Oreochromis niloticus: one gene and its partner. The main gene of each other region encodes a partner of the protein of the gene in region 2 in a complex. Links are inferred from orthologs where the notes say so. Each region holds a gene or a part of one and is shown on either strand. Other genes may lie near its edges. The genes, in order: unc79 and unc80.

Evidence for each region.
Region 1: the proteins of unc80 (region 2) and unc79 are in contact, whole or in part, in a cryo-EM structure (PDB 7W7G), measured with the Mus musculus proteins. The link is inferred for Oreochromis niloticus from reciprocal best matches to the Homo sapiens genes UNC80 and UNC79. Residues at the interface, in NP_780719.2 of Mus musculus: Gln23, Thr24, Trp27, Ser31, Leu34, Arg35, Pro36, Ala80, Pro83, His84, His87, Ser94, Asn95, Asn180, Ala183, Leu187, Phe190, Leu191, Arg337, Leu340, Gln341, Pro342, His343, Arg1317, Asp1320, Glu1321, Asp1324, His1545, Val1546, Asp1547; in XP_030102533.1 of Mus musculus: Thr120, Tyr123, Ser127, Ala130, Thr131, Leu168, Ser169, Ser172, Met175, Ile176, Gln179, Tyr180, Tyr207, Tyr211, Gly212, Pro213, Ser214, Val390, Cys391, Glu394, Glu402, Phe405, Arg472, Cys541, Asp917, Phe920, Ser965, Glu966, Phe967, Ser968.

The regions. Positions count from the first base shown.
Region 1 is NC_031983.2:11,498,374-11,510,284, forward strand, and holds the start of unc79 (protein unc-79 homolog), read right to left. Parts: upstream 5,026-11,911; 5' UTR 4,809-5,025; coding exon 4,787-4,808; intron 3,429-4,786; coding exon 3,308-3,428; intron 56-3,307; coding exon 1-55. UniProt on the Homo sapiens protein: Auxiliary subunit of the NALCN sodium channel complex, a voltage-gated ion channel responsible for the resting Na(+) permeability that controls neuronal excitability.
Region 2 is NC_031986.2:22,030,732-22,043,208, forward strand, and holds the start of unc80 (protein unc-80 homolog), read right to left. Parts: upstream 5,288-12,477; 5' UTR 4,869-5,287; coding exon 4,777-4,868; intron 4,475-4,776; coding exon 4,426-4,474; intron 4,074-4,425; coding exon 3,917-4,073; intron 3,860-3,916; exon of another isoform or gene 3,845-3,859; coding exon of another isoform or gene 3,796-3,844; intron 2,879-3,795; coding exon 2,538-2,878; intron 2,115-2,537; coding exon 1,991-2,114; intron 626-1,990; coding exon 561-625; intron 303-560; coding exon 157-302; intron 1-156. UniProt on the Homo sapiens protein: Auxiliary subunit of the NALCN sodium channel complex, a voltage-gated ion channel responsible for the resting Na(+) permeability that controls neuronal excitability.

The DNA of each region.
Region 1 (11,911 bases), on a different chromosome or scaffold from region 2:
CACGGCCAAATTGGAAGCTTCCTGGTTCTCCTTCCTGCCTGTGCGGGACAGAATGCTGCTCCGGGGCGGGAGGGGAGGGGAGGGAAGGTAGGAGAGGGGAACAAGGGAAAAAAAGAGACAACAAAGACACAAAAAAACAGCACATTACATTGAAATGGCACTACAGAGACAGCGTAAATAGAAAAAAACAAACCCAGATAAACCCCACATAGGATGCAGTGTCTCACTATTTAACTGTATAACTGCAGGCACGGGCAATTTTTCCCTGCGCTGTCTGTTCCGTGTGACTTTAATTGAATTTATCTTGTTTTGTCTATCTTTGCACTTGGAAAACAAACAAAAAAAACATGAGCACAAACTGCAATGATCACTGCATCTCATGCGTATCTGGTGACAAGGAGCAAAAATATAAAAAATGGCATGTTTTCAGTGGCAACCCCATACTTCTCCAAAAAGGGACAGCTCAAACGGCTGTCCCTCGATGGCTGCCATCTTCCAATCAGCAAGGTCAGTGGCTACCATGCAAAAAAAAAAAAAGGCCAATGAGCCATAAGAGTATATTTTCCAAATGAAATTTCCTTGTCTTTAGTGGGGCTGTCAAGGATGGGAGTGACACCAAATTGGTTCGGGAAAATACAGAGGTGACACTTTTGAAACATGCTTCAGCCAGTAATAAACATGTGTGTGAGGTTAGATCAAGTGCTCTTAGGTCACAGCACATGTTTATTGCACCAGAGAAATAATGTCTGTATGCATACGTTATGATACTGTACCAGTATCATCAGGAGAAATAATGAGATCCAACAGGCATATGGATTCAGGTTTCTAAAATAAATGTAACAACTAATCTACAGTAGAGGAGAAACTATAATGACAAAGGAATAGGTTGTATCGGGGGAGATGACTGGTAGCATTATGTTTGTGAGCTAATGCAGGATGGACAATTGTGTTTGCTGTCCCCTGGGGAAAGGTGGTGGACATATTCAATTTTAAAAGAGGAGAAAAACAAAAAAACAAAAGCAAAAACTAGTCGGGTTGAGTGTGGAGCGTCTAGGGTGGAGGAGGGAGGAGGGGGAGGGCCAGAGAGCATTGCTCTTTTTTTTCTTTTTTTCTTTTCTTTTTTTACTGCACATTATTAAAGAGCTAAGCTGTTCTATCAGGCAAATGACTGGGATTTACCATGAGAGCCCAGATTATAAATGTTGATGTATTGCTTTTTTTTTTTTTTTTTGGCTTTTTTTTTTTTAAAGGTCACTCACAAAGTAGAGTTGCAGCATTTGGAGTTACATGGCAAGTGAGAAAGGGGATTTCTTTTTTTATCAGATTTTTAACATGGCATAAGAACAGTATAACGTACCATCATGTGACTGATCCCCTCAAAGTTATACTCTGTAGGATTTAAGTCAGCGTAGATTCATTAAACTATGTAATCAAAGCTGCGTTATTATACAGCATAAACTCAAACAGGACTTAAAGACAACGACAAGACTGTATCTCAGAGTATGACTTTTTCACTGCCCATATTTCATATAGAAAACATCATTAATTTGAACAATGAACATAGACATAAACATCGGACGCGCTCACACACACACACACACGCACGCACGCTGAACATATACACGCAAAGACACGCATATGTGCACGCATACACACAAAACGACACGAGAAAATTACAAACGACACATAAAACACATGTAGAAATGCACTGATACGGACACATGACATACATTTACTGTCAAACCCTGCACTGTCGTTGCAAAATCATGGACTATATGTGTGTATCAGTTACTCAAAGCACATGTTTCCTGCATTAACATGTTAACAGGTGTGTGAAGTGAAACAACTGTGCTGCATCTGAAATGATGGCTAAACAGTCTGTTGCAACGTCAGTGATGTTCACTGATACAGAGAGCTCACTGTGCCTCATCTTTAAGATATAAAACTTGCTGGTAAAGAGATAACGTAACCCTCTAGCTGACCTAAAATTGGTGCATGAATCAACAACCTCCTCCTTTGGCTATTTCTTTTCTGCGAAGATGACACATGCCTGCTCCACTTCTCAAGGCTCGCTACTCCCACTTTCCCACTCTCTCTCCCTTTTGATTTTTTTTCTTCTATTTCTTCGCCCCGGGCTTCAGAAGGCACAGATGTATGGATAATCCTGGAGTCCCCGCTGAGGAATCCAGACTCCTCTAATGGTGGGCAGAGTGATTTTGTTCTGCATATCTGAGGCTAAGAGACTGTGCTTCGGGAAAATATCAAAGAACCGTTAACAGTGGCATCATACTGAGTGACTCTTTTCTCGCTCGCATGATACTGCCCCGCAGAGGCACAATCGTCACTCGAGTTAATGCCCATTTCCAGAGTTGCCACCCCTGTCACGCTCAATCTGTGCCCTGAGAGGCTACATTTGAAACACCCCAGTGACTGGTTCAGGACAGCCCTTCAGCAAAGTATGGAGTATCCAGGATACTCTGTGAGCACCACGGCAGAGGAATAATCCTTATGGATGGCTGAGGAGTTGTGTAGAATTGAGGCCAGCTGCCAATCTCAAATAGATTGCACCCTAAGCTGATAATAATGATAGAAGTGAGGCACACAAGTTCAGCCTCCAGTAATCCCACCATTCTTTAATAAATTAGCTAATAAGAAAAGACAGTGCCTCTGTTCTCACTGAAGCTGGCGGGTAGTAATACTGCAACCACAAGAAATATCCTATCTCTGCAGAGCATGTCTGGAAAAATGAAGCCCCAACTGGACAGAGAGAAAAAAAAGAGGAAATAGTGCTCTATTAAATTAGACGTGTTCAAAATGGCTGCCTACTTGACCTATGCTGGAAGAGGAAATAACATGCTGTTCCCTTCACAGCACCCAAGAGAGCAGGCTGACCCTGCAACTGCATAGCCGGAGGAGCTGAACTCCAGGCCCTCTGGGAAGGACACAACAAACCGCCCCAGGAAAGCGTTCATCTAGCAACCGACCACTGAATCAATAAACATCACTGAGCCATCTATCTCTGCGGCTGCCTTAAAAAGACGACACCATAATTACACAGGAAATCTGCTACAGTCTGTATCTTTCAGAGCAGAAGAGGCGAGGCAACATCTGCCATGATGGCCACTTCCTTAACCTCTTGCTGACATTATAAATTAATATGAGACATTGAATTGTGTCACTGTCATGCCTTTGAGAAAGTGTGTCAGAGCGACCTGCTGTAATTAATCTCATCTGATTGTGAAGGAAGCTAATATCAAACATTCTACAATCTTTACTTCACCTGGTGGCTCCAGAGCAGGGTACTTACCTGAGCAGGGTTTGGGAAAAGTATTTCAGTGTGTTTGCAATGTCTGTTCCGGAGGGCACTGGGTAAATATTGTGTTGCACACGGTTGTGATACTCTTGCAAGTATCGTATCTTAGAGGCAACTGGACAAAATAAAGAGCAGAGCAACAAGCAAATCAACACTAGTGAGATATGATGCACGACAGCAAAGACATATATCATGTAACTGAACAAGTTGTTAGGTAGTATTTAACATGAATCCTTCAGCTATTAAGTTAAACAAAGAGTGTGTTTTCCCATGGTTCTCTGGCCTTCACCGGGCGACCTTTTTTGGTATAGCAGCAGGTCACAGGAAGCCCTAGAGGAGGCAGTAACCTACTGCTTACAGAAACAAGCTCACACACGAAAGGTTGCCAGTTCAAGTCCCAAGACAAGCTGGGAAAATGTGGTTATAGCGAACATGAAAGGGGGCTTAAGAAGCAACACAGAGGAACATTTCTGTAATGAGCCCAGCTGGCTGCTCTATATTGAAATAATCTCTGTAGGTTCAGATATGACTGTGCTGTTTGTTGTTAGGAGTTCAAATATGTTGAAGTGGGTGATCGCTGACCCATTTTCTGTGACTTTAGGCAGGAATGTTTAGCTTCCTTCCTGACCTGTAAATGACAAACCCCAAAATAAAAATAACAGCTGCAGGCTTGGAGGATTGTCTGGTCAAAGCATGTGCTGCGATAAATACTGAAGCACAGCATCTTTCCTGTTCATCATAAAATTAAACCTCCTCAGAAAAAAAGGACTAATTTTTTAATATTTTTCAAGCTTTTAATAATATTTCGAGCTGTTAGTCACAACAGCAGATTCAGCGTTTTCTGTTCATTCCCTCACTTACTGGCTACCAAACAACAGGAGCAACACCCAACTTTTAACCAGCTGATGGGGCTGGGAACCCCTAACACTGAGTTTGACCCCGTCTTTTAGCTATTGTTTAGCGGTAAAGAATCAGAAGACAGCGGCTGGTGTCCACCTGTTCACAAGCAGCGAAGTGGAAAGAACAACAGACGTCAATATAGTGTGATCAGACCCCACGATTGATCAATATAAAGCCACCATATTGTTCAGTAGCCTGTCAGGTCGACCTTGAGACCAGCATTACACTTCGCTTTTCCCACGCGCCTCAGCCAGCCACGTCAATCAAAATAAAATAAAATTTAAAAGAAATAAATAACACGGATCACAGAGCGATCCGGACATGGAATTGTTCCATCAACACGCAGAGAAACAGAGGGTGATTCAGTGGCTCTGTGTGTGCACTGAGACCTCCAGCCATCCTCTGCAGTGAGAGGACGTGTTGCAACCTGCCTTGGCAACCGCGGTTTCATCACCAAGGACAGCTCCCCTTGTTCGCTTTCTTGGTTAAACCAAAAAAAAAAAAATCAGTTTCCAGCCCCCTCACAAGACAAAACAGAAACACGCACGCACAGATACACACAGCCGTACTTACACTGCTCTGCCTTCGTAGACATTTCGCAGACACTTGGGGAAACATAAAACCCAGACTGTCAGTTGTTTTGATAGGTTTTTCCCTTCCCGGCGTTGTGTTTCCCTCAGTCGTGAAAAAGTGACTATGCCCCCTTGCAGCCCAGGCTCGTCTTGATTGTACCACTTTGCACGACGGATTTATACGCTGTGGTGTTTTAGCTGTGCTTCGGTCGCTTTCGCGATCTTTGAACGGAAATAAAGGGAGAGCTTGTTTTGTAAATCGTTTTTATATATTTTTTTGAGGTGGTGGTGGGGATTTTGCTCTCTCGTTGCAGAGATGGGTGGTGACATATATGTGACACACCATACCTTTCCAAATGGACTGATCCGGCTTTGACAAATTGTCATTCAAGAATTCCGACAACCCTATCAGCGCTGTTTGAGCTGATTATAGGAGGGAAATACTAAGCACCTCCGCTTATTTGCCTCCGTGATGCTTTACATGTGTGTATTTGTAATGCATGAAATGCTAAACATGCAACAGATGGTTGTCACACCTTCTTAAACATAATGTCCTTGAGAAAACATCGTGGGTTTTTTTTTCCAATTTTATATAAATACAGCTGATTGGCCACCGTGGATTGGCAGCGTGTCCTAATATTTTTATACTGATATTTAGTAATATTAATACTAATCTCCACTATCAGCTGGGCGCTTTAAAGAGTACATTGTTATCCAATAACACTTTCGAGCTATAAATGTGCATGTATATGAATATTTAAGCCTGTGTCTAAATGCAGCATTTCTCATTTAAGCGGCACTTCCGCTAGTAGATGCAGGACTGAACGATAAACAGACCGCAGGGTCTGAGGTCCTGACAGACCCTTCCCATCATGGTTTCTGCCAAGAAATTTGTATGTCTATACTCCTGACTGATGGAAATGATATCCTCAAAGTGTTTTAAAGCAAAAATTTTGTCTTTTTTTTAATATCACCCTCAAAACAGTCAATAATCTCAGAAATAAAATACACAATAGTTATCATTTGTAACTGTATAGGAAAATAGCTCAGTCAGACTTCAGATTTAACAAAGGTTTTACTTTTTTTCACGACATTTTACACAGTGGAGAGAGGTTCACACAGTGACATTGTTCGGGTGCCTGTCTGCAGAGTTCCTGTAGAAATCAGTCATGTTGAGGTATTCTGGCCTTGTCTTCGATATTCTGGGATATGATGCATGATCCAGCCAGCCGGGGCCAGGAGAGTCACAGCAAACACGCATAAGGCAAAGGTAGACTGCTGTAAGAAAGTCCAATAAAATATAACCATGAGTGTTTTATTCACAGACACTGCAAATGTAATCAACTGCATGAAAGGTTATAATACACATTCAATGCAGTGTTAGTGTTGGAGCTCTCAAATATCTTCTTTGATATGTTAAGTTGAACAGAGAAGACTAAGCACCCAATGAACACAACAGAGGGCCCCGCTCTTAGTGACTCACTGCATGATATAACTTCACCTCCACCACCCACTTATATTTTCCTGCCATGATATTCCCTCTGTACCTCTCCACCATGGTATTCCTAACCTGGGATGAGCTTTGTAAAAGCCCCTATGGATGTCCCTTAGGACAGATTAACAGATTTATAGTGGCATAAACACTTCCTGCTATGCTGCAGTTCCATCATAGGATCCCTTTACAGAGGCCAGAGCGTTGCACTGACTTATAAATAACAAATGAATAAAACATCTCTTCCACTCTGCAGACTGGGGAATGCAGTTCACTTGAATTCTTCGCATTAAGGGCATTTGAACCATCACAGACACTGACTTCCCACGACCGACTTTTTTATATTGTTTGCATTTTTATACCACCATAGTCCCTAAAATTGCATTACTTGTGGTTTAGCATCCATTCAGTTTAGGAAAAATATTACTACAGTCTTTGGTTTTGTTGCAGGACATTATACAGTGTAGATATTCAGGGATGTCTGCCTGTTTAAGTGCAATTACAAGTACAATAAAAGTTAGTCAGTCCTACCACTGGCCCAATCTTTTCCTTGGGTGGCTTGCTGTAGATGGTTGACCTCTGATTTTGCTTAATGTTCTTCAGCAGCAGCAACCTGGTTAGTGTGGGTCTCCTAAAAAGCACGGACATCCTTCTTGAGACAGCTCACAGTAAATCTCGTTCACAGAAGAAAAATGTGTCTCTGGAAACTTATCCTCACATCCTGTGAGATACTGACAGATAGCCTGTACTTTTATCTAATTCCCATCACTCTTCCTGGGAGGAGTTACTTCCATGGGCCAAAGACACTCGTGTAAACATACAGAATGAGTTCTCATCACAGCAAATTCGGCCTTGGTTGTGTGCCTGAAGATTAAAATGAACTGAAAGGGGGAAATATTGGTTACAAAACATTGATTTTAAGCCTGAATGAGCACACAAGGTGTCTTTTTTAATGCTGAACAGTCGCTAGTTAAGCACACAAAGTCCTAAATTAAGAACACAGCAATCAATTGTTGGCAATATACAACATTTTTTCTCTCTAGAAAGTACACAGGACACAGAGTGCTGAAGTAGTAATATGCATTTGATGGATTTTTGATAATCCATGTAATGAATATTGATTAATATTGATAATACAACAACAACATTCAATTTAATTCAAGTTTATATATATAGTACCAGCTCACCACAATAATCAGCTGAAGGTGTTCTATAACGTTCCTACAGTACTGGAGAAAACCTCAACAATCAAGCCACCCCCAATGAGCATGTACTTTGGAACCGTGGGAAGGCAAACCTCCCTGTTAACAGGAAGAAATCACCAGCAGAGCCAGACTCATGGAGGGGAAGCCATCTGCAGAAGCCAATTGAGGGTGAGGGGAAAGAGAAAACATAAAGTCCAGTAGTAGCCTGAGCCTATAGCAGGATAACTAAGTGAATGTTTAGGGTTTGTTGACCCAGCCCCAACCATATCCTTTATCAAAAAGCAAAGTGTTGAGTCTAGTCTTAAAAGTAGAGACAGTGTCTGTCTCCTGAATCCAAACGGGGAGCTGGTTCCACAGGAGAGGGGCAGCACAGTTGAAGGCTCTGCCTCCCATTCTCCTTTTAAAAACTCAAAGAACCACAAGTAAACTTGTAGTCTGAGAGTGATCTGTTGGGATAATATGATACTATGAGGTCTTAAAGATATGATGTGGCCTGATCACTGTGAGGAAAATAATTTTGTAAGGCAATTCTTGATTTAACAGTGGATTAACCAGAGGCTTTGTAGAGAATATTTAGCTATCAATAACTGTATTACTATCACTACACAACTTGTATGTTAATTCCATATATAGATAGAAATTTTGTCATTTCAAAAAAATATTATGGTATCACAACCAGAACCGCTTAACAAAAATCTTTAAAAGATAGTCTTCACAAATCAACACAAAGACAGGCCGATCTAGATGTCTGAGTAAATCTCTTGTATTTCTGTTCTGTTCCATTCTATTCTGTCCTTCTATTTAATAGACTGGAGGACAGACTGCCTGAATAAAACCAAAGACATGTATTGCTTAACTTTGTCATTTAGGGCTTTTCCTTTTGAATTTCTTAATCAGGGTAATTGCAGGGTAATTGTGGATTTATATCAACACGACAGGTCGATGTAAATAATAAAACAGTGTCCATTGTTTATGATTATTTTAAACCTATAGTGTACATACAAAAAGGTTTTGGCATTCACATTACATGTATTCTGTCGCCCTCAACAGGATGCAGTAAGAACTAGATCTAGCTGGGAAATAAGAACCAACTTTATCCCTGAAGTCTTTACTACTAGCATACCTGTTCACATAATAGTCGACACTGAATAAGACAAATATTCCAAATCGAACAGTGTTATGGGATCAATACGTGTATGTATTGCAAAGATGCATTGCAGCCGTTAGCTTTAACATAATAATCAAGGCGAAAATTGGTGGTGCAGCCTGCATCATAGTAACGTCATCTCATAGGTCTGCCTCTAAATGAAAGAGGGAAAGGTTAATAGACAAAACATGCACTGGGTTGCATTGTCTGGATCATTTTCTATAATATTATACTTAAAATTGCATACCGCTGTTCGTCACAGCTCCCGATTCTCCTGCAGAATTACTGACAATGTCATCAGTTATATAAAACGTAAAGGGAAGCTGAAAGTACTGTCTTGACCATATGATTGTGACACGTACGTAGCCCATTTCTGACTACTGCCACCAATTAAACGCTAGAGGGCGCTCGCAAACGGTATATTGCACAATCTGCCGTGAGTACTGACGGGCCTCTTGAACAGTCGGCATACAGCAATGAGAGTGTTAAGTTGACCTAAATTCAAAGAAAGATAGACTTTGCTTCCAAAATTAAGACGTTTCATAGCACGAGCAAAGCGTGCCTTTTAAATTTAACCGGTACTTATTCGATACCTGCAGAATTTGTGCAAAATTTGAATACCAAACGCGGGATGTGAAATGCTTTTTCATTGGGCTCGCAAGTTACTGCACAACGAAAATGCAAATCTCTCGCGTTTGGAGGTTTTATTTTGAAAAACATGACCGGAAGTGTCCTTCTTATTTTGGCTAACTTGAAACGGGTAGCGTTGGGATAGGCCATAACAACCACCCAACAAGGCGTTGTGCTACTAAGGGGAAATACCGAACCGAACCGAGATTTAAAACGGTCTGGGTTTAGTTTTTAGTCGAGGTAGATGCTGAAAAATCACCGGAAAGTCGATGCAAGTGGAAGCTATTGCACATTAGAGACCAAAGGTTGACGTCGAGCCGTGCGTAATGAGCAGAGTTGGGAAAAGAAGGTGTTGAGCTGCATTTTTTTTCTCTCTCCCTCTCCCTCTCTCTGCCTGAGACAAGTTGGATCGGAGTGCTGCCTAAACTACGAGGGGAAACGAAGAAAAAAAATAATGCCTGCGAAGCTCCTCACTTTCTGGTAAATATCTTTTAACGTTCGCTTTTCAACAGTTGTATCTCATCTTGCTCAAAGTAAATTTCCGAGGGCTGAAGTCAAAGCGACACCGCAGAGATAGCTTACCCTAGCCTCTTAGGATATGCTACTAATTACAGGGCTGTGGTGAATATGACTCCTGTAGCTGGGCTGTCGCCAAACAATTTGGACATTACTTCCCTTCTTTATTTATCAGCCGCGAAAAACAATCCGCTTTAATTTTATTTTTTTTCTTTGCTCTTAAAGGCACTTTTAACCAAGGCTTCCGCTGAGCAGCGGTAGCTCAGAGAGCAACAATAGCTCCGTGATAACGGCAGGCTAACAAAGCCTTTGCAAATAATTTGATTTATTTTCATACGGGCTGGAGAAGAGTGCTCATATTTGTTTTCGTTTTGCGTGTGGCTAGATTGGTAGAAAAGTTCAGGATAAGTGTGATTTTTGTGTCACTTTGGAGAAAAACCTACATGTTGCTGATTATTGCATCTGTGTGACACAGTAGTTGACAGACTGAGCTTTGGGGACAGCTTGAACCGCAATTGTAGCCGCTATGTAAAGATGAAGTGTGGCTAGGTCTTGTAATAATTTCCACAAGTCATACAATTAATACCATAACAGATTTAGATACCAATGACTTCTTTGAATTGTGTAGGTATCTGACATTAACCCATCCAATAGAAAATTAGTGTTGCTGTAGCGAGATTTTTTTTCTAACAACGTATGTGATGTTTGTTGGCATTAGCATCCGTGTAAGTGATGAGGAGCCATATGCAGTCTGCGATAATCCCATGGTAATCTCACAGAAATTGCGGGTGGACTCAGCAGTCAGTCCGTTAACTCCATCTTTTTCTAAAATGCAGCCTGTCTGTCTTTGCAGCTCCTCACTTGAATAAAGGTGCCTTCCCCGTGCGCTTTAGTGCTCATGTTTACCATTTCGCTGGGTTAAGTATTTGTGTCAGTGCTTCAGAGCTGTATAATGACATGTAATTATCAGAGTTGCATGCTCAGAAGTCCATGACTGGCATGAAAAGGCAGCGAGCTTGCAAATACTTGCCACTCAGTGATTGAATGAGCCACACTTTGCCCTGAATGCTGTTTACCCTGGCCAGTTGGATGGAGAACCCAACAATGAGCATTGACATCTCACTTAAAATAAGCACCCATTGTTTCCTGAGTTGCCATTCATTCTCTGAAGATCGACTACTGGGTTATGTTTGCACAGTCATTAAGTGTATGCCTACTTCACATGATGGTTCTGTTAGGTTTTCGATTGCAAGCGCACCTACAGGATGACATTCATCTGTCCAGTGTTTGTCGGTTAAGTTGCCATCATGTATTAAATCAAAGGTCTAAAAGAAAACAAATTAACTTTGAGGTAGCTGTGTTTGATATTTGCCATTTTGTTTCATGGCCTCAACGTAATCAGCTGACAGTGTACTCAGTGAAATGTCAAATATGCACCATTACGGTTCATATTGTTAGTTGACACAGGCTAATCCTGAGGCTGCTCACCATGAGTCATCATCGTGGGGACTTTTGTTTCCTCTCTCTGTTTCTGTCATTTCACTGTGTTGTCTGTTTTCTAGCTTGTTCCGATTTTTCCTTAGTTTCCCATGGCTCTCCTGCCAGAATCTGTAATCAGCTGAATGGCCTGACACAACATTATGCTGATTTACCTGATTGGCAAAAAACATTGCCGACATAAGCGGTCTGCTCTGCCTCTGAATTTGGACTCTCCGGTTATCGTTTCAGACAAAATATGACTATTATTTTAAGAGGGCGGACTTTATTTTGGTTTCCACCAACCTTCCGTGGTTGTTCCAGTCGGGTATCTTGCTGCAAGATGTGTGCAGACACATCAGTGCCATGGAGGTCACTCTGTGTTAGAGAGTTCTGGTTTCTGCTCACTGCTGCATTGCTTTTTTATGACCTTTCAGAGCACCCTTGATTGTATCAAGTATCAAAAGAGTCAGACAATCTGTAACTGAAAGCTGTATTTCTGTACAGCTTGGTAAGCAAAGGACGTAATGGGCAACTTACCCCAGAGGCCATTTAGCAGGTTTTGTGACAGCAAAACTTCTTTTCATCCCCCAAGGCCGGCATCTGTCATTTTTCTTGTTGTATGTGAATCAGAAAAATAAACTTCGTTTCTTCTGTGAT
Region 2 (12,477 bases):
CTCCAATATCGATCGTTTATAAATCAAAAATAATGCTTGTGTGATTTCCTCTGTGGGTCTCTATTAATACATTTATTCATTCGTTTGGTAAGTTAAAATTGATGCTTCAACATGTCTCACTGCTTCTTGAGGGGAAACTGAATAACACATGCTCACTTTTTCTTGGAAGGGCCTTTGACCAGTGGGGGTTGCTGTTGGGAAGGGCCACCTTTCTCCACTGAGTTACCACGACGACAGCTCTGCTCCCCGGCTGAGGGGGAGGAGGAATCTGATTGGGTGGCTTCGCAAACCACCTGGAAGCCCTATGGGTAGGAAGAGAGAGAGAGAGATGGATATCAGGAAGACAGACAGGCAGACAGTTCCTGATAATTAAAGGCTCTGAGGTTGGAGTGTGGTTTCTGTCATGACCCCGGCTCACCGTGCTAATGAATATTAACAGCCAGCCCCAGGGGGAACATTGGAAAAGGGGAGGGGAAGAAGCCTCAGACTCTTGCCCAAGCACATTCAATCAACATGGGAAGCAGAATCTGACAAGATATGGGCTGAAAACGTTAGCTCACCATGGGACCCGGGTTGCCTGATCCACAGGGGCTGCACTGGTTGTTGACTGGGGAGTTCCTCTTTGCTGTTTAGACAAGCATAACAGTATACATGTGTTAATTGTGAGCAAATAAAAATAGATTATCTCTCAACGCACTAATTCCCAACCAGGGGTACAAGTACCCCAGAGGGTTCTTCTGCAGTAGGCAGCAGACACCTGGAATAATTCGTTTCACTATTTATAGAACTGAGTGGTCCTATGGCTAAAAATGTTAGCTAACGTTATGGATTGTGTTTGTTACACACCAAAAATAGGACAGTGTGGTTGCCTGGTGATTGCATTGAAGGTTTTTGCCTTTCCATTGCAATTATTGCCGCCTAATTTATAAATGCAGATGGATTGCAAACACAATATAATCAATCTAAGTCAGTCTGCGCCAATGACCGTAACTCGTCTGTGATACGTCTCTATTTGTTTTTTGTAAAGATTTTTTGGGGCGGCATTGTTACATTACTTTGATAGTAGAGCAGTAAATCTGTGAGGTTCCTCCTGGATAGTAAATGAAATTCGTTAGTGTGAATTTCTGTGTATGTAGATTGCAAAGGATTTGCAATTTTTACAGATTTATCACAGTTAATCACAAACAAAATGCATGTAACTACCAAGCTTAACCCCGTCAATCACAAACTGACAGCAGATTGACTCCATCTTATTGTGATTGAAATGCTGGATAACCAAATAGTCAAAACTGTTAGCTAACTTGGTGTATCAGCAGTTGAAATAGCAAAAAGGTACGAATCACCAAATTGCCAAAACTGTTAGCTAACTGTTTAGATTAGCAGTGGAAATATAAAAGTATACATAACTAAAGAGATGAAATTGTTAGGTGACTGTGCAAATAACACTGTTAGCCTAATATAACAGATAAAAAAGCTGTATTACAGCAGCTAGCTAAAGCTATGAAATGAACACCAGTGATTTAGCTGCTATGTTGCTGGAAGAAAACTGTTAGCTAACTTTGTGTATTAACAGTTTTAAATAAAAAAATAAAATAAACATTTAAATAGTTTAAATTTGCCAACTACAAAAATATAACACCAGCAAACGTAATTATATATATTAAATAGCTGTTAAATAGAGTATTAGCTAAGGGCAGTAGATAAAAGGTTGAAATTATAAGCTTATTTATGGTTAACTAACTATAATTGAGACATGGTAAACTAAAAGTATCCCAGATTTAGGTTAAAATTAGTTCAGCTGAACATAATAAACATGAAAGATGTTAAGGAGGAATATCTGACACAGCTGCATGGGTTATATATTAGGAATACGGTTAAGAACCACTTTCTTTAAAAGCTTTACAGAGGTTTATTATATATAAGCCCTTAAAAATAGCGGCGATTTCTCAAAGATAGTAGGAATTTCTTTAAAAACTGGGAATTTTTTCACCTGTAACAATGTTTCTGACAGGTTTGATGAGGGCAGTAAAGGCAGGGATGTCAGGCAGGCGGTGCTCCCACATTGGCTGCCATATTACCAGACCACTAGCCAGTCTGAAGGTCAGGTCTGACTCCTGGAAAAAGGCAACATATTTACACATTTTTTTCCTCAAAAAACAGCCTGTAAACACCAGAAACAATAATTCTGTCTTGGTTAAATGTTTTGTGTTGTTAAGATTCTTAAACCTCTGTTACAACATGCTAACAAGACAAGACAGTAATTCACTGCACAGCTGGGAAACAGTGCACTCCCATGAGTAATATAAGCTGACCCTTTCATCTGTTTGCACACACAGATCAATAGGCACAGGGTGATGCTGACTGCAAGTACTAAATTAAGCAACACAGGGGTTGCTGAAATTAATTTAATCACAAAATTATCAAAATTATAAATAGTCTAATGCCACAGATTAACACAACAATGCCTGTGTCATCCTGGCTCTCTGTTACAAAAATCAATTTCAAGGCCGTACATATTTGCATCAGCAGTTACGCACCTTTATCCGATGAACAAGCGGTGCAAACAGGAACACAAACAACTCTACTGTTGCCATGCTCTTTTGGAATAGCTTGGTGCGAGTATGCTCATCCTCCTCCAGCAGGGAGCCGCTGTGCTGTTGTCCTAACCCGCCCAGGCCCGAGCCAGAGCAGGAGCTAGGAGCTCCCGGGGAGGAACCCTGGTTCCCCACAGGCTGGAGGAAGGCGCTACTGCTGCTGCCCCTGGACCAGCCGTGGCTCAGGCTGGGCTCGTGGTTGCACTCCTGTGGGGCCTCCAGCAGCATCCAGTGCAGGGTGTGGAGCAGCTTGGTCTCCGCCACACCCAACTTGTCCTGGTGACCTGTGATGTAACCGAAAGACAAATACTAAACACGCAGACACTTTTTTTAAATCTGCTTAAACATGACTGGCCTGCAACAAGTCACCTGCAAGTGGACTCCAGAGAGAAACCAGAAAGCTTCCACTTCCAAAAATTCTTGCATGCCTACAAAACTGGTCATATTTGATGGTGACCTCTAATTTCCTGCTTCTAAATTCAAACTGAAGTTATTGTCCTCAACCCTAATAATCTTAGAAATATGATATCTAACCAGATGCTTACTCCAGATGGCACTATTTAGGCCTCCAGTAACACAGTGAGGAATCTTCGAGTCCTTTTTGACCAGGATACGTCCTGAACTTCACATATTAAACAAATATGTTGGATTGCTTTCTTCTATTTGTGCAATTTCTCTATAATTAGAAATGCCCTTTCTCAGAGTGACACTAAAAAACTAGTTAATGCATTTCATTACTTCTAGGCTGGAATACAGTAATTCCTTAATATCAAGCTAAAAACTCTCTGAAAAGCCTTCAGTTGATCCAAAATACTGCAGCAAGAGCACTGACAGAGACTTAGCCAGTGCTTTGGTCAAAGGTGGAGTGACAGGAGAACCAATCTAGCATGTTCTTGCATGAAACCTGAGCTCCCAAAGGGGAAACCCTCAAGGACAACAAGCAGCACAACAGGAGGGATCTGACCTGGATTGAATGAAGGACCCTCGTACTGTGTGGCAACAGTGATTTTCACTTGAAGGCGTTTAACAGCTTAGTTCAAAGCCTGCCACCTCCTACTTAAAGAAAGTGTCAAATCCAGCTCAATAATAATGCAAACAGTGGCTCATTCATGTCTGACACATGGAAGGATTTGATGCTTTTCTCTATCTCGTGTTGTGTGCAGGCTGTTTTAATCTCATAAATATTAATTCTATCATTTGCCTTTCTGTCCATTTAAGCGATGATCTCTGAAAGAAGCTGAAAGGAGCATCAGATTTGTGTTTTGGCGATTGGGTATGACCTGGATGAAGCTGTCAGCTCGATTGGACTAAAGCGTCCTCACCAAGCTTGTTCCTGTTAGACAGCAGGATGGAGGTGCAGTGGAGTACGTGAGGCAGCGCCGCCTGGACGAGCTCCCAGCGGGAGATGCTCTGGATGGCCTCTGACAGGGCCGGCGACAGCCCGTGGAGCTTGTTCTCCACCAGCACTCGCTCAAAGGACTGGGGAGGCAGCCAAAGGAGAGAGAAAAAAGAGGAGAAGAGAGACATCAGGCGGGCAACTTAAGCCTCTTTCTTTGACTATCTAAATGTCCCACATGGCCCCGAGCGAGCAAAAGCCTGTGGGAGAGACAGTGGAAGCTCTGTTTGGATCCAAAGGGATCTGGAGAAGCGTCATTATGGATATGAGTCTAGCTCGAGGGTAATGGGAGGAAGCACGGGGGCAAAACTAATTTGCTAAATGCAAAATCAAGAGCTCACTTGATTTGCAGGTGCATTAAGGTAAAAACAGATTACTGGGAAGGGAAGCGATTATTTCCCCTCATCGTGCACATGGTATTATGAAATGACTTACCACACAGGATGCCTCATACTGTTTTCCCAACTTTGGCCGCAGAAAAGCACTGAAAGACATCAACAGAGTGCTTGTGAGAGATTAAAAAAGGACAAATGTAGGTTATAGGCTAGTAAATTACCCCATTTTGTCTATGTGGCCCACTTTTTGTGCAAATTTTACAGGTGTGACATCATACAATCTGCACCCACAGCCCCATCTTCCTCCATTTAACACAAATCAGTGAGCAGACACTCACTGGGTTTCTCAATCACTTCATCAAATAATGTTGACGTGTGAGGCGGTGACAAACCCCCGTCAGCCCTGCCTTGTTTTCACCAACGGCAAACACCTGTTATCAATGTCACTAACCTGGTCTGCCTCCACAGGAAGGTCTGGATCGGGAACGGTATTCCCTTCCCGCACTCCGGTTCGTTTTCATCCAGGCTTTTCCTCTTCACCATTTTGGCCGAACCCTGCGTGGCCGCCTGCCTGTGTGCGATCACCGGGACGCGCGGCTGCTGGCTCTGCCCAGGTGACCAGCGAGCTTTTCCCTCCCTCTTCACGACATGATTGGGTTAGTCCTGCGTAAAATGGCTGCAAGTGTCGATCGGTCGGTCGGCGGCAAAGGAGAGATAGAGATAGAGAGAGAGAGGAGGAGGAGGAGAGAGGAAGAAGGAGCGCTCCGAAATCAGCACCTCCCTCCCTGGACAGCGACAGCTGATCGGAGAGCTAATTTATCAGCAGCGGCAGCAGCAGCGGGGCTTTAAAGACGCAGTGTGCAGCTGGGCCAGATGTTCTCCCCCTCTGCCTTTTCTTCCTCCTCTGCTTCCCCGCAATCAACACATGGAGCGACCTAAACCGCTGCATCCGCGTGGTGCATCCACACGCGCCATAATCCACCCCTTTAAATATCAACAGGTTGTTTAATAATAGCCCAAGCTGTGAGTCATAAAAACACAGCAAAATCAAATCAGGTGTCACTTCCCGAAACATTCGCACTGTTTAAAGAGGCCATGCCGCGCAATAATATCCTCATCAGGCCAAATAATGTCTGCATTATTGGACAGGTGACGAACATGGATCTAACTTGTTGACGAAATCCAGAACAATGCACCGTGGTTTTTAACATGGCAGTGCTGTTTGTATACGGTGTTTCCGTGTAAAAGAAGAAAAAGAAAGACCAGAACTGTTCTTAGGAGATGGACAGTCACAGCATCTGAACAGTGCCTCACGCTGCAAACACTAAAACCATGAACATTGAATCCCAGCAGGGTTGGTCTGAACATGCATGAAACTTTACAAAAGACAGAAAAGGATCAGTTAAAGGAACATTAACAATGTAGGGAAGAAAAACTTTAGGTTACTTGCGTAACCCCAGTTCTTTAGCAAAGTGAGATGTCTTACTACGGGATGAGCCTCCCTGCACATTTCTCAGAAGCATTTATCTAATTGACCACCAGCCAATCCCGATTGGTTGGTGGTCAGGAACAGCCATCCACGTTTAAATAAATTGCGCTATTACATACCCGTTATTCAAGATAAGCACCTCTTCTCGCTTAGCAACAACAAAACGGGCTGTCTGGGTCATGCTACTCTGAAAACCGGAGTTTAGTCACCATCTAGGCATTGAAGTCTATAATTTGCAGGAAAAAGACACTGATTTAGTCCTGGTTTTGTTCAATGGGCTTAACAAAAATATATATTTTTAACTGTTCAGGAATCACAGCCATTTTTATATTAAGTCCTCAGGTGACTGCCTTGGCCATTAAAAAATATCTCTATCTTTGCATGGAGAAACTCTTGGGTTGCTCTAACAGGATGCTTTAGGTCAGTCAGTTGTGCAGCATTCGGCTAATCTGAGCAGAGAATAGTCCCACACACTTCATAATTCATCCTGCTCCTTCTATCAGCAGAGACATCACCAGTAAACACCAGTGATTTAGTTCCACTGGCAGCCATACATACCCATATGACCTCCACCATGTTTGATGGATGATGTGATATTCTTCAGATCATGGGTTGGTTCTTTCCTTCTTCAAAATTTCATCTGTCTCAAGAATTTGTTTGCATAACTTTTTGGCTTGTTTACATGTTTTTTTGCAATCTGGCCATCTTATTCATGTGTGAGACCAGTGGTGTGCATGCTGTTGAAGGCATCTCTTGGTCTCTCTCTTGAGAAATGTTGTGAAGCTCATTTTATTTATTTTAACATCCACTTTATTGTCTTCGTGTGCTAGAACATTCCTTCCTCTAAAGAAGAAGCTGATTTGTCCACTCCTACATTTTTTGCTATATATCTGATAGTTCTTTTCAGCTCTAATGATGGCCTCTGTCACATGCGCTGACATTTCTTTGACCCTAATATTTAAGTAAGAAGCTGTGAAATTGGATTGGAATCAACTTCAGATATTTTATCTGCTTCATTTGTCATGGAAGAAGGGAACAGGCCTAATCTGGCCATCAAACTGCCTGTCAGTCAATTGTCTAATTGATTTAGAGCTTCTGAAAATGGGATAGTATACAGAAATGACTGTAATTCTTAACAGTTTTGTTAACCCTCTTGAATTAAAAGCTGCAGTGGTGTATAGAACCAAGTCTGCAAAAATTGTGTTTGTCCAACTATAACTTTCATTAGAACCCGAGAAAAGAAATGCTTCTCTAGTAAGCTAAAGAAATCTGTCGTCGCGCCTCATTGAGCATAAACTAAAATATGTTAATGTTTAAAATTACAGAAAAAAAATCATGTAATAATAATAAAACTGAAAGTTTTTATTAATTCACAAAAAATATCTGTTTTTAAAACACTGTTTTGCCAGACTAACAAACTCATTAAGTGTGTAGTAATGAAAAAAGGGAAAGGTTGCTGTTATTTAATTGTTTATCTATCACTTAATTACTTTGTTGTTCTTTGGTATAGTATGAATGACTGTAGAGGCGTTTAAACAGCAGAAAAAGCTGTAAAATCTGTGAAAATACAGTCAAAAGTCCAAAATTTAACCTCTCCTTCACATTTTCCAAAGCTGTCCACAGGGCTGATGTTTGTTGGGTCGATTCTGGCCCCCATGCCTTATGTTTTACCCTCCATATCAACTTCATGCAGAACTATAGAAAATTATAACAGGTTTTAAATCGTTTGTCTGTCAAATATACAAACTTCAAATGACTACAGTAATGCCAGCAATGCCTCCTGTTTAATGAATAATGATGACATTTTTATTTAACCTTCAAAACGCGTGCTGATGATAACCAAACAGGCACGCCAAACATGCAGGTTGACGCGTTTTTCACAAAAAGATGAGAATTTTCAAAGAATTGATCCACAAGACTAGAATGAACCAGTTTTTTATTTCTTTTATTTCTTTATTTTTGTTGTTGCCATCATCCTGTAGGAGCATTTTGTCATCAGTACGTCTCAAACACCGGAAAGTGTGCACACATCTACAATTTTTTTAAATCTTTTTTTTTAAATACACTTACACAGGCAAAGAGGGGAGGGAGGGATATAGGAAGCACAGAAAAACACTGGAAGGGTAGGTGACATCAGGAGGGGAGGTGGGTGGGGGGCGGAGGAGTCTCATAATGGTGAGCAGAGAATATGCTAGAACATTTTTTTTATTCTTTTTTCAAAAAAAAAAAAAAAACTTCTAAAAGCTGCAGTTTTGTGGGGTATTATTCCCATTCTTCACGTTTTTCATCTCCGCAAACGTTCAAAAACTTCTTTCAAATGGAATGTTTTCATATAAAGCTTCACACTTAACACTTTTTAAAACAAACTTCGGGGCTTTCACCCACTCAAATACACTACACAACCCAGTCTTTGCAAAAGGAGCAAGGTCACAGGGGCCCGTATGCTAGAATGCACCCGGGCCATTTTACACTCACACAGAAAAGTCGAAGATCGCTCCAAATAGATCTAATTTATTTATCATTTATTTGCCATGCCAGCATAACAGCATTGTTGTAGCCTAATAAAAACCACAGCGCTAATGTAAAACCAGAAAATAAAAAGAAGAGAGGGGGGAAGGGGCGGCGCAGCCCGACGGCTGACGAGAGAAGAAAATAAAACACAAAAATCTATTGGAAAGCTAGCCTTTTAGCGCCCGACTCGACAGAGCTGCAATGGTTATCCACATTTAAATGCTAATAAGCCAGAGCAGCCACAGGGAACGTACAAAACTGTAAATACTTCCAACTACAGTGACATATATTTTTTTATATATTTATATATAAAAAGAAAACAAGAGAACACAAGTTTGTCCAACAATTCAGCACAATTCAGGAAATCCAACAAACGCAACAAAGAAAAGTTCATGTCACACGTTTTTTTTTTGTTTGTTCTTTTTGCAGACATGCTCATCAGCCATTCTTTTGCAGGTCAGTTAAGTCTCTCGCTTATCTTTAAGACTAGCACCTACTCTCTAGTAGCTATATCTTGCATTCAGTACCGTATAAATTCTGAATGGATGTCACGCAGGGGTCCAACTTGAAGTTTTTAGCCCCGTGCGAGTGGGAATGTGTCGGTGCTTTTCAACGCACCAAAGAAAAAGAAGAACAAATAAACAGAAAAAGGACCAAAGAAAAATACTGTACAATCGTAAAACCACCTTCTTGAACCACTTGAACCTTGGCATTCAGCTTATCTAAAACAGAACAGTCCACGTTTGAGTGAATGAGAGGATAAAAAGCAGACCGACAGACGGGGGAGTGTCGTTGAAGATTTATGAAGAATTCAGTTTTTTAAAATCCCGCTTGGAAGGGACGGAGGGATCGTTGATTGGACGAGACGGTCAACCAGCTACAACTGTGGGGGTTACGTTAAACACTGGAAGCTTGTGATGGGAAAGATGGGAAAAGGAGGAGGGGTGATGGTGTGGATTTGTATTTTTCCTAAGCAGAGGCAGCTGGCTCATAAGCCCTGCTTGGCCAGGGCAGCGGTGACATCCTGGGCCAGCGTGGAGAGCTGGGGGGACTCCAGGAGGTTGATGCTGCCGGCGGAGGACAGGCGAGGAGAGGTGCCTCCCGTCTCGATGCCGGGGGAGTGGGTGACGATGATTTCCGCACCGTGGTCCACCCGAGCTTTGGCCGAATCCCGGAAATTCAGCTTGTGGCTCTCGATCTGGTGAGCAGGGGAAGATGGTTTAGGTCAACGCTCTTTTTCCTCTTTAACGTGAACTGACAGTGACATTTGGTATAAAAAGAGGCTTCCTTTTACCATGATGTTCCCGCCTCCGGGAGTGTGGCTGGCGTTCTCCAGAGAGCCGACCTTGGCGTGGGCCTTCTCTTTGAAGTCCAGCTTCACATTCTCGATACGCACATGTCCTCCCCCTGGGAACAGGACAGCAAGGAGGAGAAGAGAAGTGTTAAACCCACGAGGAATCGCTCGCCTGCAGGACACCACTTCTCCTAGGCAATGCTCAGGGCAAAAAAAAAATCTCAGTCTGCACACTGCACAGCCTGAAAAAGGCACAAGTGCCAGCTTTGACCTGCTTTATACAGTTTATATAGTACCATATAAGACCGGATGCAATATTCAATTTCTTGCTTTGACACTTTCTTGTAAAAATCATTGAAATGGTGACATCATGGGGGCAAAACTGAAGCTGTAAGCGGACAGATGACAGACAAAATTAGGAAATATCAATCAGATTATTGGTACGATGAAAGGAAATACATATGTTTTTACTAAATCACAGCTAATTTGACAAGAACAGACTTTCGCTCAAAGACTGGTGTTACTGGGCCTTGTTTTTTTTTTTAAAAATATGACAAACAGTTTGACATCTTTATGTTGGTCTGCGTGGAATTTCTGACTCCTTTTGTGCAACCCACAGCCACTGAACTATGTGTTGCACTGTAAGTTAAAGACAAGCATGTAATATAAAATGAGTGAAGAGCGTTAATGATAACCTATTATAAAATGGATGGTGACCAACAGTAACTCCAATTGCTAAAAGAGTAAAATTTAAATGGTAAAAGAGGTTTGGGGTCATTTAGAAACCGTCATAGTTTGTCCAGCAGAGCAGCTCTGACTCCATCCGGGCTGCCTGCAGCACATGTAGCAGAGCAGCAGCACAGCTGATAGTTGTGTGGAATCAAGCAGCGTCTTCACATTAAGTTCCTAATAGGATTGGGCAACATGATAAAACCTTCCAACCACCTTCAGTCAGCCCAGAAACTGGCTATTTGTGGAGGAGTATGTGTGCTGCACAAACATTTGTAGCGTTTCAGTGGAAAAACTACCAAAACAGAAGAAACACTAACGCTGGTGCTTTGTTCTACACGAGTTGTCAATGTCTAAGACACTCATCAAATTTAGTTATGGAGTACTTTGCTGGTTGCCCTTTTTTAAAAATGTTACAGCATTGTTTGGGATTTTAGTCTGTTGCTTGGTGCCTGTTAGGCAACATAAAGACATTAGTATATACCATGCATAATCCAACTCCTGTGGATATAAATGAGAGCGTACAGTCCTGAAATTAAAACTATACAATGCATTTATAAGGAGTTTTAGTTGCATACTACAAATGGGCCATTTTAGCTTGCTGGTCGGTGGTTGCTAGGCAGTGTAATGATGTGCTATAGATAAGAACAATCAGGGACTGGGTTTGTTTGCTCAGCTGGAGGGTTCATGGATTACAGTGGATGTACATAAAGAGAATTGGTACATATATCAATACTGGAAGGTTTTAATGATCCATATCAACATTTAACATAAAATACAGCATTTGTTACACTCTAAATGGCACAAAAATCATTTATATCCATAAGGACAAATCAAAATCAGCTAATAGCAACTAGTCTTAGCATTCCTTTAAGAAGAGAGCCTTAAATACTTTGTACAAGTAGGATGCCTTCCTTTTTTTCATATATCATATATACTAGTTAAATGCATGCTGGAGTATTGTTTGGTCTGCGATTTTAGTGTGTTGTTAGATAGTTGCTAAGCAGCATTTAGACATCATAAGTTATCATGCATAATTCAACTGCTGTGGATATAAATGAGATGTTTTTGCCACTAAATTAAAATGATACGAAGCTTTTATAAGGAGTCATAGGTGCATAAACGCTGCAAATGGGCCATTTTAACTCTTTGGTAGGTGGTTGCTAGGCAACATGATGATGGTCATTGTCTGAGATATAGATAAGAACCATTGTGGGCCTAGGATTTTTTGCTCAGCTGGAGATTTCGTGGATTACAGTGAGATATACATAAAGATTATATATCACCACTTTTTTTAAAAGTTTATAGTATGAGTAACTTCTTTCAACGGTAATGACAACTAGTCTCAGAATTCCTTTAAGAAAAGGCCCTTATATACATTGTACAATTAATGTAATTCTCTAAGTTTTTCTAAAAGGCCAGCTGTGGCTGTACAGTACCTGGTCTGTGGTGGATGTTGGAAAAGGAGCCACATTTGGCGGTGACATGGCTCAGGTCGATCTTCTTGGTCTGGATTTGGACCTGCGAGCAGTGGCACATTGCACAAATTCACCTTTAAATGCTTTGAATATGAATAAACCACAAATAACAGGCATGAAATGCAGTGAAAGGAAAGCGACAGGTTTTAAAAAAAAAGAAAATGGACGAGGTGAGATGACACGAATCTCTAGACAAAGGCGGCGTGAGTCAATCAACCGCAGTCCACAGAAGAGCCACAGAGAGGCTGATGTCAGATCCCTGGAGGGGAGGTTAACATGAACGCAAGCAGTGACGGTGCAGACATCAAACAAACACAGAACACTGGCGCTACTGTGTGACGCTACGGGGAGCAGGTGCTTCAATTAAACTTTATTGTCCATGGGTGATGTGAATTAGTGCGAGCATTGTAAACAAGAGAAACTGACAGCCTTGCAGGCTGCAGAGGGAACTGGTTTATGTTATGAAATATATGCACTATGCAGACATACTGTATGTTGTGGCCCAGGTGAATGCGCGATGCAAGATTATACAATTGTAAATGTTTTTGTTTCTGAGACACAAAATACAGCTGATGAAGACGAACACACTCCACGAGGACGGCTCACACACATCTTAATGTGAGGTGTTATCAAGAACGACAGATCTTGGAT